Astyanax mexicanus: one gene and its partner. The protein of the gene in region 1 interacts with the protein of each later gene in a pairwise test. Links are inferred from orthologs where the notes say so. Each region holds a gene or a part of one and is shown on either strand. Other genes may lie near its edges.

What was found.
Region 2: the proteins of rint1 (region 1) and c16h19orf25 interact in binary tests that used the Homo sapiens proteins (3 or more experiments, as listed by UniProt). The link is inferred for Astyanax mexicanus from reciprocal best matches to the Homo sapiens genes RINT1 and C19orf25.

The regions. Positions count from the first base shown.
Region 1 is NC_064409.1:11,967,630-11,977,927, reverse strand, and holds the start of rint1 (RAD50-interacting protein 1), read left to right. Parts: upstream 1-5,780; 5' UTR 5,781-5,827; coding exon 5,828-6,055; intron 6,056-6,482; coding exon 6,483-6,724; intron 6,725-7,402; coding exon 7,403-7,576; intron 7,577-7,861; coding exon 7,862-8,002; intron 8,003-8,254; coding exon 8,255-8,411; intron 8,412-9,339; coding exon 9,340-9,450; intron 9,451-9,538; coding exon 9,539-9,764; intron 9,765-10,298. UniProt on the Homo sapiens protein: Involved in regulation of membrane traffic between the Golgi and the endoplasmic reticulum (ER); the function is proposed to depend on its association in the NRZ complex which is believed to play a role in SNARE assembly at the ER.
Region 2 is NC_064423.1:18,737,731-18,747,562, forward strand, and holds c16h19orf25 (UPF0449 protein C19orf25 homolog), read left to right. Parts: upstream 1-5,436; 5' UTR 5,437-5,699; coding exon 5,700-5,844; intron 5,845-6,879; coding exon 6,880-7,064; 3' UTR 7,065-7,600; downstream 7,601-9,832. Other genes in the region: reep6 (receptor expression-enhancing protein 6), read left to right, coding at 1,003-1,096, 1,201-1,339, 1,464-1,632, 2,980-3,059, 4,290-4,310.

The DNA of each region.
Region 1 (10,298 bases):
TAGGGTTGGGCGATATGACTAAAATAATATCACAATATTTCATGGTATTTTCGTGATAACGATACACTTAAAGACATGATAAAACAAAACTAACTGAATTTAAAAAATATTTAAAGAATACTTTACTGCAACAAAATGTGAATAAAATTTTATTATTGAATGCAATATGATATGGCAAACCCCTAGCTGAGATATTAAAAAAATAGATTTGTAACAGAAATCAATGGTCCAGAATGTCATGATACTAAAAAAATGCACTCCATATATCTCCATATATCCAGGATTAAAGTAAAATAAATTATATTGGACTGATCTAATCTGTCTCTAGTAGATATATAATGGGAAATGAGAATAGCGTAAATGTTTCTTTTGCTAAAACCAGCAAAAAAGTAGTTTCCTGATAAAATATTAGGGGTGGGTGATATGGCACGATATTTCAGGGTAAAATATCCTTCACGATATTAAAAAATGTTGACAATATTATTGCGTACGATACGATATGGCACATCATTAAGTAGGATCATCATTTCCACATTAAAAAAAACTAAAACTTTTACAGGTAATGGGTTAGCTTATTAAGCATGTCACTACAGGGTTTTTTGTGTAAAGGGATAAATTGACTTAAATTTTGAGCATGATTTTTCATTGTGCGCTTACTTAAATGATTAATACAGTAGCAGTACTGTAACATAGAGAATTTTCTCTACCTTCTCCACCCCCAAATAGCTTGCAGTAAACAGCCCTGCTTCTCCAATTCATATTTTCCTATCCGCCATCGTCACTCATTCTCACTCATGAACTCACACAGGGAGGAGAAGAGCGTCAGGTCAACGCCATCGTTCTGCAGCGGCTGCAGTACAACAGACTCATTATTCATGGCCTTGACAGTTTTATGGTGCAAACATGTGAGTGAGGGGGATGTTGTAAGTGCCTCAAGGGCATCGAGATGGATCTGAAAAGAAGACAAGCACTCAGAACACACCACACCCATCCTCCCTCCCTCCCTGTGTCCGTCACACTGACTGCCCATTTTCGAGCAAGTTAAAGCTGAGGTTGGGTTTTAAAAAATAAAGCACATTTTTGTTCACGAAGTGGAGACAGGGAGGATGTGTTTTTTTAAAGCCCCTTTTACACATGCACAGTTACCCAGAACTGTCCGGATCAGTCATACCATAGTCTTTATCCTCTCAGTCCCTTAGACTAAATCTGGGTAATGTCCGAGGGAGCCCATGTGTGAACAGAATAGATCATTTTCAGGAGAATTCACATTCTGTCATTTTTTTCTTTGCATCCTGATCTTGGCTTTTGCTGCATGCATGAATGTGACTTGATTCTCCTGACATTTTCCTGAAATCATATGTACATACAGCTTATGTGGCCTCTGAAATTTCATGACTTTGTCTATGGACAAAAATCAAGATGTTGGTCAATCAATGTGGCAATCAATGTTTTAATCAGTACTGCACATTCTTGTAAATTTTTCTATATAACAAAATGCTATACAGTGTCGGAAAATACATAAACAATTCAAGATTCGGGATTTGCACTGTGCTTATTCTCTGCCTAAGCTTCTAATATTGTCTTAACTAAATTAAAATTGTAGTTCCAGTGCAAAAAAACAAAAATGCACGCACAAAAAACAGATGGACAGCACGAATAAAATATTTAATTGTAGTGCAGCATAACAATCAGTTAACTAATGTTGTTTGTTAACATTGTGCTAACCTTGAATCAGCATAGTGGTGCACAAGAGAGCTCCCTCCAGAAAGAGTACCATTGCCACTGGTCATGTTCATGGATTGGGAAAACAGATCAAAAGCTTATACCAGGCGCACACTTCATGACTTTTTTTAGTCGTTAGTCATAAAAGAACTGAGAGGCCATGCAGGAGGTGATGAAGAAGAAGAAGGCTGTTTTTATTTTATTTTATTATGTTTACTTTTAAGTTACTTTATTTCAGTCCTTAGTTAATTCAACCACAAAACAAACACACCTTTCTATTCATTGCTTTTTTTTTTTTAGAAGTTCTGCACCTTATATTCATGCACACATTCATGCACTTTGCCAAACGTTTTTTTTTTAATCCCCACAAATGGTGTTCAACCAAAAACAGTGGTTAGTTTAACAAGACTAGTGTTTGCTGGGTTGTGGGTTAGCAAACTGTTGCTATGATTGCTGCTGCTAAGCAACCAGTTCAAAACATTCACAAATGGGACAAAATACTGGTCACAATACTGACATAATGTGACCAGTACTGCTATTGAGCAGTGTGTTTCCTATTTACTGAGCCAGTATGGATGTTCAGTAGATACCCAGTTCCCACCACAGCCATTCAACAAATCACCCCCTTAGTCTGAGTACGAGTTACATAATGAGATCGATGATGCACCATGTTAGGGCTGGTTCTGTTGTGGAATTAAACAGAGGGAACAGCATGGTGGGACAGCTTATGGATGGCTCTACAGCTGTTGCTCCAGCCTAGGTTTACTTTGGCAAGCTCACTGTAAGCCAAACATCCTCCAGGACAGGTCCATCGTGCCATCCAAAGCAAGCACAGGCCTGCAAGATGGACACTGGGCACCCTTAAAGGTGTTAAGCAACCTAGTCTAATGAGCAGACAGATGGCAAAGAGGAACACACACAAAGGTGTGCAGAAAATACATACACTAGAGCATCAGCAAACAGAAGTAAAAACACCAGCCAAAAAGATTTCATTAGGCAATGGTAAACACACATTTTTAAAACATGTTATACTCTAGTAAACTCTAGTTAGTGGTGGAGAGCTAAATGAAGGGTGTTAGGTAACGTTATATGTTATGCATGCATCCTCTGGCCTTTTTGAATAGTACACTGGCTTTCTTAATGTTCATTGTGACCCCTGGTTTCTATTTACACTATAGCAAAGAAACAGATTTCTTAACAACTAAATTATACAAAAATGTCAGAGAATAAACATTACAAAATTACCTGAACAGTGTCTCCACTGTATATACTAGTGCAGTCAAAAAAATGTTATATCATTAAAGTTAGTTTATTTCAGTAATTTGGTTTAAAATGTGAAACATATATATTATTTAGATGTATTACACACAGAGTGATCTATTTTAAGTGTTTATTTTTTTATTGTTTGTTATTATGGATTACAGCCATAGTATCTGTCCAAGCTGCCTGAGGTCTAGGGTGAAGTTTCCACAAGCAGTGATGGTTTGGAAAACAAATAAAAGTTATGCTAAGTTACTTTAGCTAATGCTATTATCCTAGACCTGTACAGCCTGCATATTTCACCTGGAAAACATCCTGTTTGTGAAGAAGAAGTAAGCTGAATACACTGGTATAATACACTTTATTTAATTTAATTTAGCTGCCACAGAGTGTTAAAATTAACTTGAACCAGTTGTTTATCAATTCTCCCTGTCAGCATTCTATGTTGCTACAATATTGATGATTATCTGCTAAGGGAGAGTACGAAGAAAAAGAAGAAAAAGTTCTGATTTTTAAATGCCGGGTCCTAGACCACCTGAAAGCAATTTCAGATCTTCTGCTGGACCCCCCACAGTTTGTGTATAGAGCAAACAGGTCTGTCCATGACGCAATAAATTTGGCATTGCACTCCATGTTACAGCATCTCCACAGTTCAGGGATCTACGCTAGAGTTTTGTTTGTGGACAGCTCAGCTTTTAACACCATTGTGCCAGAGCATCTGCAGGTCAAGCAGTGCGAGCTGTCAGTGCCAAATCCCATCTGCCAATGGATCATGGATTTCCTGACCAACAGGAGGCAGCATATGGGTTAGGAAAACACGTTGGACATCTGGACTCTCTGTATTGGAGTACTACAAGCCTGTGCTTTCCCCCCTGCTCTTCAGGCTCTGCATCTCCAAAGATTCATCTGTGAAGAATCTGACGTTTGAGGACACCACCACTATGGTCAGCCTCATAACCAGCAGTAATGAGTCTGCCTACAGAGAGGAAGTTGAGCAGCTGGTGCCCTGGTGCGGCAGCAACCACCTGCTGCCGAAGACACAAAAGACTGTAGAGATGACTGTAGACCAGACTTTAGACCCACCCCCACAGACACCCATGGTGCTGAGGTTTCCACTCTGGAGTCACTCCAGTTTCTGGTCATCATTATATCCATCATATTCAGAAACTGCAGCAGTGGATGTTCTTCCTAAAGCAGCTGAAGTAATTAAACCTGCCTTCAGGCCATGCCAGTGAGGATCCACTTTTACACAGTGATCATCACATCCATCCTCACATCATTCGTTGTCTCCCTCACAAGAATGAATCAAACTCCTGTGGATAATCAGCACAGCAGATTGGATCACTGGATGTACCAACACTTCAGTGCGTATATAGCAGTATGGTCGCAAAGCGTGCTGGAAAGATTATATCTGACCCCTCTCACCCCAGCCATCATCCTTTCCATCCACTTCCCTCAAGAAGAAGACCCAAGACTACTTAGACATGCTAACATCTGTTTTTCCTTAGGTCATCTCAAATCATCTCATGTTAGCTTTGAGCTTTTTTAGCCTAATTTTCATATTATTCTGAAGTAACAACTGTATTCAGCCTTAAAAGACCTTTACTAGTGGTTTAAACTCTTTAAATTATTTAAACCATTAACAGAGCTGACAGAGTCACTTTTGTGCCTTAATTCCATGTGCTACCCTCCACAAGAAGCATCTAAAAACTGCCAGAGGACATGACATCACATATTTTTGATCAGATTTTCTATTATATTTTTTTTTATCAGAAGTAACAGAGTAACAGACCATAACACTGGAAATTACATAAAATATTTTTAACTGTAAAAATTATACATACATACAGTACCACCAGTCAAAAGTTTGAACACACCCTAATTTCAGTGGTTTTGATTATTTTTTTTTTTTAAATCTGCATTGTAGCTTAATACTGAAGTCTTTCAAACTGTGAAGAAACGTATGGAATTAATCATTAAACACAAAAAATGTTAAACATACCAGAATATGTTTTATATTTTAGAAACAGGCACCTGGAATGACTTTCAGTATTTCTTGACAGCTGTGCTGAGATAATCAAGAGATAATTACTTGAATTTCTAGCACTTTTAATGTGTTTGAGACCACCATCAGTTGTAAAGTTGTGAAGAGGTAGAGTTGATATACAGTAGTATACATACCCTATTTAAGTAAAACATAGTATTGCAAGAACTACTCAACTAATTAAAGAAAACAAATACTTTAAGAAATGAAGGTCAGTCAATCTGAATACATTTTAAAGAACACATTATCCTCAAGTGCAATCGCAAAGACCATAAAAAACGTCATGATGAAACTGGCTCTCATCAGGACCGCCCTAGGAAAGGAATATCTGAAGTTACCTGTTGCACAGGATAAATTAATCAGATTTTCAGCCTCAGAAACTGCAAATTATCATCACCCCGATAAACCCTACAGCACTTTATGCTTCCCTCTGCTGACAACTCATGGAGATGCAAATTTTATTTTCAAGCAGGACTTGGCACACTGCCGAAAGAACTAATTGGTTTTAGATAATAGTCTAACTTTCTGAGAAACTGATTTTTGAGTTTTCATTAGCTGTAAGTCATAATCATGAACAAAAAAACGCTTAAAATAAATCTATGTATTATATAATTTTCACAATTTTTTGTAAATTTGCATGATATTTAATTTTTTTGAAATGCACTAGTACTGTATGTAGCATGCTTGAGAAAATAAAGGGACTCTTATTCTATAATGTAAATGCTTTCCCGCGCTCTCTCCAGTAGAGGGCGCGCGCGAGAGCGTTTGCTGCTGATGACGTGGGCAGGCTGAGGGAGAAACATGGCGGCGGCCGCTGTGGAGCAGGATAATAACAGTATGAATGGTGAAGATAGCGGTGTGAATAAAAGCGAGCCCGGATCCAGCTGTGCTGAGGGGGTCGGGGGCTGTGTGGAGCAGCATGTGGCGGAGCTGCTGCAGAGGGAGATTGGAGGAGACCTGAAGTCTCTGAGGAAAGTTGGGGGGCTTCTGGAGAAACTGACAGCAGAGAACATGTTACTGGAGGAGCAGGTAAACCAGCCCTGCATCAGCTCTACTGACTGACCTCTCTCTTACCTCAACTGTTTAAAAAGCATTAAAGTGTGTATGTGTGTGTGTGTGTGTGTGTGTGTGTGTGTGTGTGTGTGTGTGTGTGTGTGTGAGAGAGAGAGAGAGAGTTCACTATATTCAGAAATACAGTACAGTCCACTGTGTGTTTGATTTATTTGGATATCTTAAACTGCCTAGACATGTGTGTGTGTGTGTGTGTTTGTGTGTGTGTGTGTGTGCAAATATTTTCATTTACAAATAAATCACTATCTAATAAAAGGTGCTATTTTTTTTTAGACAGATGGTTTTATATACTAAGCAGTGTGAGCAATGTGTTTTCATGATATGTCTAGTTCAACCTTATAGACATAACGTCTCCGCTGACTGGCTGACCTTTTTATTCCTGCAGGTGTTGACTGTATCCAGCTCAGTGCCTCTGCGTGTATCTGCTGCTCTGTCTGCAGCAGAGGAGGCCCGGACGAAGCTGGAGGTCCTGCTCCAGAAGGAGAGGCTCCTGTCCAACACGCTGCAGCAGCATCTGCAGGGAGCTCAGAGCTGGGCCGACAGCCTAGGACAAACACTTGGACAGCTGGACACGCTGGAAAGGCACATGAAGTACCTTCAGTGCTTGGCTCGCATTGAGGAGCTTAGGTGAGCAATACAGCAAAATTAACACTTGTAATTATTGATCCAGTCATGATTGATCAAGATAGTGGTGAGAGAAAAGGCTGTGGACCCAGTAAGTTTTTATCCATCCATTCATCAATCAAAAAACCTATCCACGTATGTATAGAGAGCATTCCTATGCATTCTGGAAAACCTGGAAATTTAGAAACAATAAAAAATGAGAAAATCTTACCTGTAAGTATTAGTAAGAGCCTAGAAAAGTCAAATTGTTGAATCACAGCAATAAAACCAATTCATGCTAAGAGCCTTTTGAATATTTTTACGTGCAATCCGTTAGAGACTTTCTAGAAATAGCCTCAAACATATATATCCCTGATAGATGGATCTTTGCATGGATAAAAGCCTGAATGGCTGCGTCTGTAAATGGATGAATGGATGGATTTATTGATCTATGGATGAATGGATGGATTCATAGATGGCTTGCATGAGGAAAAAAATGTCTTGCTTTTTTCTCCAAGAAGGGAGTAATGAGAGGGTGTGCTCTGCAGCCCAATATCCTTTTTATCTATTTATCCATCTATCATATCAATCATATATACTGTAGAGATGCATACATACATATCCAGGGAGTGTACATTCTAGACATTTACCTCTCTTTTTTGTGATTTGTGATTTGTCATGGCTGCTCTATGTTTTGAACAGTGACAGTATTCAGCAGTTCCTGATGACTAACAGTGTTTGGGAGGCAATTGGAGCTGTGGGCAATATGGCCACTCTAGACATGGGCCTTCAAGAGTCGGGCTGCTCACATCTACAAGCATTCCTTCGAGAAACATTGCACTTCTGGCACAAGATCCTGAAAGACAAGCTTGCAAGGTATTGCCAATGTTTTATATAATATTATAATTACATTCAGAGTTTTGAAGTTAGCAAATATATTCTTAATGTTTTTACTTTGTTAAACCCCATGTCAGGGACTAAACATGCCCTTTTAATGTCAATGTTATAAATTATAAAATCTGTTCCAAAATCTGAGAGCAGGCTGGCTAATGGTAATTGATTTGGGTTTGCTGTTATTGTTGGGATAATATTAAATAAAATTGACTGCTATTCAAAGAAATTGTTGATGAAATTTGTCATGTTTGTTTTTCTTAATCTCAGTGACTTTGAGGAGGTGCTGACACAGCTACACTGGCCGATAGTCTCTCCCCCGACCCAGTCCCTCTCTCCTCCAGCTAATGCACAGGAGCTCAACAGCCAGCTGGAGCTCCTGGTGTCTCAGCTCCTCTCCCTGCAGATGTCGTATCCTTTGTGTCACAGAGACACACATAAACGTACATCTACACTAACCATTGTGCTACGGTCAGCAGCTCACACACAGTTCTTCTTTTATTAGCAATGCAGCCCTTTGTTTTAGGCAGACAATAAGACAGTGTATTTTTTATCATGTGATAAATGGATCTTATTATGCAACAAAATTAGGCAACAAAATATTCACAACATAATATGCATGAAACTGAATGGAAAAATCTTTGCACTTGACTCCTGTCCCAGTGACGATCTTATATCTGAGAAAAAGGAATTGCCCACTCGTCCAGGCTTACCACAGACCCCACCACTCTCGCTGCCTATTCAGATCATGCTACTGCCCCTCAGCAAGAGGTTTAGGTATCATTTCACTGGGAACCGCCAGACCAACTCACTAAACAAGGTTAGATTGTGCACATCACTATTCTCCTACAAATTATGTAACAGCCAGTCTTATTTTTAAAAAATGGAAATTATATATATTTTTTTCTGAAGTGTAAACAATGTAAAACAATGCACAATTTCTTATAAAGACTTCAGTCCCCAGCAATCAAAGGTAATTACCAAAAACAGAGGTTTAATCTTTAATAATAATTAATATTACGGGGTGCCGAAGAAGAAGCGCAAGCGACTTCTTGCAAAATCTGGACACTGTATTATTAAACTGTACTAGAGTATTAATAAGCAGTAGGTTATAAATGTAGGTTACTGTTTACATATAAAAAAAGTAAATAAATCTACTTTTTGCTTTTAATATTTCAACATTATTCTTTTTAAACTCTTAGTAATTTGCCATTTTGGTTTAAAAGAAAAAGTACACTGTTATGTTTCAGAAAAAAAAAAAATGTTTTCACTTAATTAGCCAAAATAGAGCATTTTGTTTACAATATTAAACCTCTGTTCTTGGTAATTACCTTAAATTGCAGGAGACTGAAGTATTTTTAAGGAAATATGCATTGTTTTACATTTAATTTCCTTAACATTTAATTTAATTTATATTTTTTTTATTTTAGTAAAATCGAATTGTGATCTCAGTATTGTTAATCGAATCGAATCGTAACAGAATATTTGTTACACCCTTACCAAAAACAGTAAATTATTTAATATGAATGATAAGAGCAACATTTATTTAGCCAAACATACAAAAGTAGTGTGTAACACATGTGTAACGCAACGTATCACACATCTCAGGATGAAGTTGTAGAGGTTAGTAATGGTGCCCTGTGATGATCCTTCACATGCAGCTCTAATATTCCTGCAGAAATGGGCACTTAATGGACAAATCAATACAGAAAATATACATACTGACTGTATTTTCCTCTCCATTTTAGCCAGAGTGGTATCTGACCCAAGTTCTTGTGTGGATGGGCCACAATTCCCCCTTCATGGAGGAGAAGATTCAGCCCATTCTCGATCGTGCTGGAGCCAATGTCAACGCAAAGGTGAGAAGTCAAATTTAGAACAGTTTTTAACTGACTAATTTTCGATTTGAGCCATTATACATGCATTGTCCCTTTCTATGCCCATTAGGTGGAGCTGTGCAGGGGTCTCCTTACTCTGGCTCAGGAGAAACTGACCCACGATGCCCCTCGGCTGCTGTATGACGACACCCTGTTTTGCCACCTGGTGGACGAGGTGCTGCAGTTTGAGAAGGAGCTGCGAAGCACACACGCTTACCCCAGCACTTACCCTGGCGCCCTGCCCATCCTGCTGGAGGAAACTGTCTTCCAAAAGTGGCTCAGTGTGGAGAGAAAAAGTGAGTGCTCAGAAACACACGCGTGTTGAGAGAGTATGTTCTGTTTTACTGTTGCAGTGTGGATTATTATTCTCCAGTGCTGTTAGATTAGTTCAGACTATTTTTGGGCCTTTGTTCACAATTTGTCTGATTAAGTCTATTCATTACGTTGCCTGCCATCTTCTTTTACTTCTTTTCCAAGCATATTTTTATTTCAGAAATATTTCTTCTATATGAAAAATAAAATAGCTTCTTCTGTTTGGGCTCTGTTGAGAAGTGAGGCTTAATTTAGTCATACATCAAAGGCATTAATTTTTTTTCTGTTATATTTTTTAAACTAACCACTTAGAACATCATATCTAAAGGCAGTTAAATATGTATTTTAAATAGAAAATGAATTTTAAAATCAGAAATGTGCATTAAGGTCTAAAGTGTTGCCAATATGAGTGGGAGATTGCTGGTTTAAAGCCCGGCCATGCAGCTTGCCATCAGCTTGTGGAGCATGATTGGCCTCTCTGGGTGGGTCTTTCCCTTCTTCACAGTGCGCTGTGATGC
Region 2 (9,832 bases), on another chromosome or scaffold:
CAGACAGCACAGAGCTCGCGACTCTAATCCTCTGAGCAGCAGCAGGTGGAACAGCACTAATCAGGATGTTACCGGCCTTCTGCGTGTCTTTATTTATGCCTTCTGCCCCAGTGACTCAGTCTGTTTAACAGATCTCCTGCACGATAAGACCATTCATAAAGACACACAGACACGCTGCTAGTTCACAAACTGTCAAACAGCTTATTAAATTCTGAAAATATATTCATCTATTACCAGTGAACACACTGGTGGAAACAATTCCAGTAAGTTACCTAAGTAAGGGTCCCCTTTGTACAATATTACTCCTCTCTAAATGAGTTAAACTATGTACTAAAATATCAGCTAAAAAAACTGCTCTTAAAAAGGTATTTGTAAAAGATATGTTTTTTTTTAAACTGATTTGGAAAAAAAAGATTCAGACTATATTTGAGAATGGGTTTGAACAACTTTAAAAAGAAAAAAATAGATTTTAATCTTTTTTAAAAATGGTTTTAAACTACTTTTTAAGAGAAAATGAGAATGTATTTGAACAACTTAAAAAAAAGATTTGAATCTTTTTAAGAATGGGATTGAACTATTAAAAAAAAAAATCTTTTTGAGAATGGGTTTGAACTATTTTTTTAAAGATTTTTGGGAATGGGTTTGGACTACTTCTTTAAAAAATGTAAACGATGATCTTTTTGAAAACTGATTATTTTTAAAAGATTCATATAGTTTAAAAAATATCCCAAAAAAAAAAAGATTTGAATCTTTTTGAGAATGGGTTTAAACTACTTAAAAAATACATTTTTTTTTTTGAGAATGGGTTAAAACTATTTTTTTAAAATATTGGAATTGTTTTAAGAATAGGATAAAACTACTTTTGAAAAATATTGGATTCTTTTTTAAAAAGGGGAGTTTAAACAAGTAACACTGTACTCTAAGTCTTATAGAAACTAAAAATGCTTCATTTCACATTTATAAATCTGACTTCACATTATACTCTTCCTCTCATCTTTACAGGAGCTGTTTCTGTTACTGGACTGTATCTGTTGTTTGGGTATGGAGCCTCCCTGCTCTGCAACTTGATTGGTTTTGTTTATCCTGCATATTTCTCGTAAGTGTATTTAACTCTTATTATAATACTTGTTCTGAATAATTTCCTACATTTAAGAAACGTATTACTGCATAGTTATATTGTGTATTAAATCTTTATTATAGAATAAAGGCTATTGAGAGTCCCAATAAGGAAGACGATACACAGTGGCTCACGTACTGGGTGGTGTATGGATTCTTTGGTGTGGGTGAATTCTTCTCTGACATCTTTCTCTACTGGTTTCCTTTTTACTATGTATTCAAGGTATGTCTTTTTGCCACTTAGAGGACAGTGACCATCACATGCAAACCCTTTAATACCTACAATAATCACATAACACATTTTATCCCTCCAACTAATCATGCATCTTGTCTTTTGGTGTTTCTAGTGCCTGTTCTTGTTGTGGTGCATGGCCCCCTTCTCCTGGAATGGCTCTCAGGTGCTGTATAATCACTTAGTACGGCCATTTTTCCTCAAGCATGAGGCGACTGTGGACAACATGGTCAGCGACCTTAGTGGGAAGGCCATGAACGCTGCAGAGTCTGTCACAAGAGAGGGTAGGTGAACATATGATAGTTAATTTGATAAAAAATGAACAGTAAACTTTAATAATTATTTTTGTGAAGAATTGCATTCCCTTAAAGCTTCTCTTTCTAATATACCATAGATTATGTTATGAATCCTATCGCAGATTCTTAAATCTTGGTCAGTAAGAGCGTTTATATGAAAAAATCCACTCATAATCGGATTAATGCGGTTAATGGAGAGATGTAAACAGCACAATCTGATTTCTTACATTGAAGAAAGGTCTAAAAATCTGGTCAGGAACTCAGATAAAGAGCTGGATTATAGCTCAGTATTTTTCGCACTATAAGGCACACTATCCATGTATGTCTATTTTCATACATAAAGCACACCAGATTATAAGGTGCATTATGTAATACTAGTAAAGAAACAGGAGTGTCGCCATGTTTTCCTTCTAATTCAGCAGGTGGTGGGTGGTGGTGGGGGATAACTAAGTTAAGTAAAGCTAAGCTAAGTAAACAAACTGTAAACTGTAATAAAAAAAAGTCAAATATGTGCTGGATGATAATCTACACAGATTTCTTTCCTGAAAACTGTTTATTTGGATGAGTAAAGCGTTTTCTGTTTACAGTAAGCTTAGATTTCCAGATTTCCATGAAGTCTATGGTTAGCGCTAGTAAATACTGCCTGACAGCGCTACACTGAGGAACTCTGAGTGTTCCCGTAAGGCAGGGTGATATTAGCTAGTGGTTTGTCCAATGTAGCTTGTTTGTTTACACAGTAAACATGCAGATTTCAGTCCAGTGCTCAACTCTGAATGGCAAAAGAGCTAGCGCTTAGCGTGGTTAGCAGCTAATGCTAATCCAGCAGTGCTAGCTTGGGTTAGCAGCAGGCTACAGTCTGATATACTCACCCCTGAACAACAAAAGCTCTAGCGTGGTTAAAGGCTAATGCTAATTCTGCTTTAGCAGTTCTTGCTGGGGATAGCAGCAGGCTACAGGCTGAAAATACTCACCTCTGAACCGTGAAAGAATGCATAGCGTGGTTAGCAGCTAATGCTAATACTACTCCAGCCCCGGTGCTGAAACTGAAACTCCTGTTTAACGATTTTTGGGAAAATTAAAAGTTTTTATGTGTGTCTTATAGTGCAAAAAATACAGTAATTCTTACTCTGTGCTTGATTTAATTAGTCAGTAAGTGTTCTTGGATTTCTCAATGAGCACATGTGGGAAAATAGGCTGTGGCAGTGTAAATAAATAAGCAGAGTTTAACACAGCACAATGCAAGATGACAAAACATGTTTAAAGCAATGCTGAAACTAAAGGGTTTTACATGTCTGACTAATGTTAACTATGACTTTGTCACCTTGTCTTTGTCAGTTATTCAGAGTCTGGCGAAAAACAGGATTCCCTTATCTGAGAGAATGGATACATCCAAACAGCTTCCCAGTACATCTCGTGTATGTAACCTTCGTAATTCTACAATATAGTATTATTTGTTTGCATAGAATGTGGTTCACCAGTAATTCACAAGTTAGCAGTGTGCAAAATTCCATCTCTTAAATACTTAACATTCAGCAGTCTTTCTTATGTGGTTTATGATCTGATCTGACACTCTTATCTGTAAAAAGGGATATTAGTACTGAAAGAAATAAAGCCTAAGCTCTAAAATGAATGGTGTGGTCTGCTGGGGCAGACAGGAAGAAATTCTATGAACTGATCAGGAAGTAAACCCTCGACGCTGTGGCGGTGGTGTTATGGTGGAGGATGATGTCTAAACTGTCATCCATGAGGGTCAGCAACACCCACCCCATGAGAAACACTACCAGCACTGGAGAGAGAGCTCCTTCAGTGTCAGTCACACTTTGTGCTTCTCACCAAATGTGTGAAGGACTGTTACTGCAGGTCTTTCTTCCTTTCTGCTGCTGTCAGACAGTACAACCAGTAGTGCTCCCACACACACACACTGTCGCTGCGCTCTTGTGGTAATTTTGGGCGGGCGGCCACTCCTGGTAAGGTTCACCACTGTTCCATGTCTTTGCCATTTTTGGACAATGGCTCTCACTGTGGTTCGCTGGATTCCCAGCGTGTTGGAAATGGCTTTATAACCCTTTCCAGACTGATATATCTTAATTACCTTCTTTCTCAATTGTTCATGAATTCCTTTGGATCTCGGCATGATGTGTAGATTTTAAGGATCTTTTGGTGGACTTCACTTTGTCAGGCAGGTCAAGTGATGTCTTGATTGAGAACATGTGTGGCAATAATCAGGCCTGGGTGTGGCTAGAGACAGTGTACTCAGGTGTTAGAAAACACAGGAATGTTTTAACAAGGGGGCAATCACTTTTTCACACAGGGCCATGTTGTTTTTTGACTAATATTTAAAAAGGTTTGATGTTCTGAAACATTTAAGTGTCACAAACATGCAAAAAATCAGGAAATCAGTAAGGGGGCAAACACCTTTTCACACCACTGTAGATTATAACCACTGTGATAGACAGCTGAGTTTTGCCAGACTATTTATTGGAACATGTTTCCCACACTCAGATTAAACCCAATCATAAAAAAATATAAAAAAGATATCGAAACCTATCATTGTTCACCATGTCCTATTTAATCCTATTCATTTTCTCTGTTTTCACTTTTCTCTCTTTTTTTCTCCTTTTTTATGTCTATACATTGGTGTTTAGAATGAACCCACTGTAGACTAAAATGTAAGTAGCCTACTTAAGCACTTCATTTTCCACCTATTTTGCACTTCAGTGTATTTGATTAAACATAACATTTGCTTTTTTGATTTACAGCTTTGCAGGTAACTGCATCCTCTCAGGTGAACTCATGACCTCTTAGATGCAAATCAACCACCAGGACTTATACACAATGGGATTGAATATGTTGTGTTATGTAAGATACATTATGTAAAATACAAATAGATTGGTGACAACTCAGTGTTTCATTTCAATCCTGTATTATTTAAGGTAGTATCCGAATACTGTAGAATTAGAATAACTGTGGATAACAATAATAACTGTTTCAGTTTTAGCTGTACTGTTTTCACTTCAAAAATGTGCTTTAATGCAATGGAAGTCTTCAACTCTGCTGGACAGGATATTTTCTATAAAATGTCCTATTTTAATGTGTACACCTTTTCCTAGTATATCAGATCAGCCAAACATTCCTCTCCTTTTAGGTACAGACCACATAATAGAACACAATACAACTAACATTCTGAAGTATAGTGTGTTACTATTATTTTTTTATATTGGTATTAAATGTCATCATTTTGTTTAATTATTAATATTTTTTGTAACTTTAACAAAAGTCCACAACTTTAACTGATTTTCAATAAATTTGTTTTGTATTTAACATTCTGAGGGGATGTTTTGTGTGTGGTTATTTTATTTTTAGCCATGTCATGCTATTTTAAATATACATTTTAATCCAGTTTTGTCACATTTTAGATTTTCTCTAACATTTTTATTTCACAAATCATCCCTAAGTAGTAAAATAACTCATAACATGATTCTTTTTATTTTATTTTATTGGGCAACATGCCTCAATCTGTTTTAAATGCAACAATACACAAAATTATTGGAAAATCATAAGAATTTTTAGGGGTGCCCACAATTTTTTATACCAATATATATCAAAACGATTTTATACTATATTTTTAAAATACCTGGTCTACGAAATATTTAAATGGTAGTATTTATTAATATAAATATAACTTGGGTAAAAGTTTTCTCCTCTGTAGGGATTCTCTGCTGCAGTCTGAGTGTAGGTCTGTCTCCGGGTCAGTAGGTGGCAGTGTGCGTTAGAAATGTGAAATGTTTACCACAGAGCAAATCTGAAGAAGTATGACGACAACAAGCAACGTTTCACAGCCTCGTTGGCTGTCAGTATCAGTGAGTTAGCGTTAGTTATTTTTCTACAGAGGAGCTTCATTTATGACAAGAGTTTCTGTACATGTTTCTTAATGTCTCTTAATCACTGGGGGGATTAATGCGTCCTCCCGCTTAAAGCTGAGGTAAAGCAGCGTTAGCCCCCAGAGCTACAGCGAGCAGCCGGAGTGTGTGGAGCTGCACCTGCAGGAGAACAGGATGAATCTGGGCTCTAAAGGCAAGAAGAGGATGGTTCTCCCGACCAGACCTGACCCGCCTTCAGTGGAGCAGATCATAGATGACATAAACCGAGCCTACCCCAACGACCCGGTCTTCAGCATACTGCAGGAACAGTCCACTGAAGGTGATCCTGTAGGGAATAAGACCACTCACTTAAAACCTAGATAAGTGTTTAACGACATGTTACATGGGCTGTGAGATAGGACCAGAAATGTAACGTTATACCCCAATAACGATATAGATAACGAAATAGCACATTTTCTATAAATTCAGCGATATTTTTTTTATAAACGTACCACACGATAGACCCATTTCTTATTAAATATTGACTCACACTCAACAAGTAAAAATATGTCTCCATATTGTATAATATTTCCCATTTTATTAAGAAACTCTGTGCAAGTTATTAATTAAACATAAAATATAACGTTAAATAAAGTAGTAACATACTTTTCACTTTTTATGTCAGTGTCAGGACTAATAAACACTGTTTTATATGAAGTTCGTAGAGGGACTGTACAATTTAAACATGTGATGAGTAACTTAGTGTTCTAATTTCCATCTCAACACTTTAACACTTTAACACTAGTTTAGCCTAAAAAAAACGAATTTAAAGCGAATTTTGCCCCGAAACTCATCCTGCTTTAACATGTAACGTTAGTTCAATGCTGTGTGTGAGAGAAAGAAAGAACGAGAGAGAGAGAAAGAGTGGGCAAAAAGAGAAAGAGAGAGCAAAAAAGAGTAAGCGAGAAAGAAATAGAGCAAGAAAGAGAAAGAAAAAGAGAGAGCAAAAGAAAGACGAGAGAGAAAGAAGCGCTCACTTTTCCGCATTCCCCAGGCAACAAACAGGCCGTTGTTTTGTGCAACGATATAGACGATAAGAGTAATGATAGAGGTTTTTCTGTCGTCATAACGAAGTATTTCGTCATATCACACAGACCTAATTCCAGATGAGGCTAAAGATTGTATTCAGTCTTATTAAAAAAAAAATAGATTGAATACAAGTTCATAAAAAAACATTCCTGCAGATACCCTGATTTAAGATTAAAGTCAGAAGCATTTGTTTTGATAGCAAATTTAGTAGAGAAGATTTTTGTTAAGAGCTTAAAAATTTAACAACATTTCTCATGACATTTTTCATATAATGTATATCTTTCAGACGTCCGCAGTGGATCGACCAGCAGTGACGTGGAGGTCAGGTACCTGCAGAGCCGGCGGTTCCTCGAGCTGAACGAGCGGCTTCAGGAGGCACGTTCTGATCTCGTACGGAGAAGAGAAGAGCTGAGGGTGGTGGGGGAGTCTTTAGAACAGAGTGTAACAGAGGTGAAGGACAGAGCCATTTGACTGACCATTTTACATGCTGTTAGAAGCCCACAACACCTTTTAATATGGTGGATGGAGTGGGATAAATGATTAAGTTATGATTTGCTATGTTTTTTTTTTGTTTAAACGTCTTTGTAGTTTAAGTGTTTAGAGGTATGAAGCCAGGCCAACACATAATACCATCTAACTACAGTGCCTACTGTGTAAGTATTAATTTAGGCAACATTTTGGAGATTTGTTGTTTTGTTATTTGTCACTTGATGTTTGAATTCACAAATTCTGACTTTATTTTTGGACATTATTAAGAAAATTATTTGATTGTGGTCTTTAGCATAACCACCACAATCCTGTTTCTTAAACATTGCTTTTTGATTTTAGCACATGCCACACTTTTACCAAGAGGTAAATATGGTTCCTCATGATTCCTCTTTATATTTAAGTGTTCATGGCGGCTGTTATAACTTCACTGTGGGATGTCTTCACCAAAATCCTGCAGTTAATGCAAGAAAATATGGTTTGTAATACTTTTGCACTTATTAAATGAAAATTAAAATTGAGTCCTGATGTGTTGTGTTCACTCACAACTTATAATACAAAGGGTGGAAAAAATGCTGTAGTTTGGTCGATTAAAACATTACTTTCCCCACAGCAAGTTGGGGTTTAATTCTCTAGCGAGGCAAGCTTCCTAATGCTTTATTCATCAAAAGTGACATTCATGCAACCGGAAAATGGACCTTATCTAATGTTTTTTTAATAAAAAACTGGTCGAAAAGATGTTAATATCACATAACTGTGTTCTGTTTAGACATTTAAACTGAAACAGAACTGTTCTTATTTATGTCAGATTATGGCTATTTTAATACCATTTAACACAAGCATGCTGAGCTGTGCACTTTTGTTGCACATTGTTTCATTTCGGTTGTCAAATTTAGTAAAGCAGACACCAGTAAATTTATAATTCCTGGTATTTGCTTATTTAGGAGTATGGTATCCTCTCCAGTTGTATATAATTGTCTTGTGATATATATCGAGTATCACAGACTCCCTGTGTCTCACCCCTAGTTCACACTGCCCTACAGATTCAAATCAATTCAATTTTAGTTTGTAAAGGTTGTCACAAAGCAGCTTCACAGAGAAAAGCAGGCCCATGCCTCTTATGTGCAGATAATGTGCATCACAAATGAAATTCTAGATTGGATTTGGGCCACTTTTACTTCCTGTTTGAACATAGCACTCTAGATAAAAGGTTAAAATGAAATACACAAAGAGGCATGATGAGAACATTTATTATGGAAATCAACCCTTGGCCATCACTAGGAAATACTGTTGGTCATCAACACATTCTGAGTTTTGCTTTCGGCAAAAAAAACTTTACATTTCGGTGTACAGAGCTCACACATTGATTTGGACAGCAATTTCTAATTAAAGTATGTTCTTGTGGAAGTGCTATATATTGTGTATATTAGTAAAACACAGTAACAGTTTAAATTGTAATTATGAATGTTCACTGATGGATCTGTGTATAATTTCTTTACCTCTCCCGTTAATCCAATATGAAGGAATACTTCTTTGATTTTGAGTAAATACAGATTTTGCTGTGCAACTTCTGAGTTTAGTACTGTTATGTTACTGAGTATATTATTTTATCAATCACTTTCCCCTTGTATCCGTCCATATCCTATTTTAAATGCTTTTGTGGTAAAAATTGTGGTTCGAATAAGTAGCCATCAACTAATGTGAAACAGCTACATAAAAAAATTCTGCTTACCATATAATATTAAATGATAGAGCATGTTTTTTTTATATAAGCATGTTCATCATTCATAATATAGATAGTAGAGTCGTAGCTGTCAGTTTACTGTAATTGTTCATTTGTGGTTACAAAAGATTTCAGGTGGAATTTATCACTGCGGGTCTGTTTAAAATGCAGTTGAAGTACATGTTTTAACAGATATGCATAGGTCTGTCATAATAAATAAACTATTATTATTACTGAATCATGATAATAGTAGGTTTAAAAAGTTCAGGAGACTACAATGCTCTCTCTATGATCAGAGGATCGCCAGTTTGAACCGTGAATTATGCTGCTTCGCCATCAACTGCCCCAACTATCTCTTGGTGGGTAGATAGCGCTTTCTCCTCACATAATTCCTAGCATGATCTTCATCAGCACAAGCGTACGATAGCTGATGCACCTACAGATCTAAAAAGTAGCACATGTACAAGAGAAGGCATGAGATCAGCCTTCAGATCAGCAAAAATAATTGAGGACACGTCCATATATTGTACGATTCATCAATACCATAATTATCATGACAGGCCCAGGAATTCAGTGTTGAGTTCATTGATCATTTCGGTCTTAAATCGTTTCTCTTCAACAACCTGCAGAAGTACAACTACTGTATCGTCCCTTCCCCAAATGACTTAAACCGTACCTGATCATACACAAAATGACATTATCAAAGCATTCAATAAGCAGAAATATGTACAGCCATCTAAGTGTGTTACATACAGTTTCTAAACAATTAACAAGTACATCTCCTTTTCTAAATTCAAAAGATCAGAGATGATTCTTCTCCTCCGTTTGTTTTACTTTACGCCTCAGGGGACGAGATTATTCAACATCGATAACACGTAGGTGTGCACACGAGGTGAATACTGAGCATGCTAAGTAGTAGCGGTGCTTGGAGTACTTTTTGCTTACTGGGAAGCATTTAGAGTCTTTGCAAATATATATATACAACATCCATAAATACCAACAAGGATTACATTGTGTTCTTGCTGTGCTG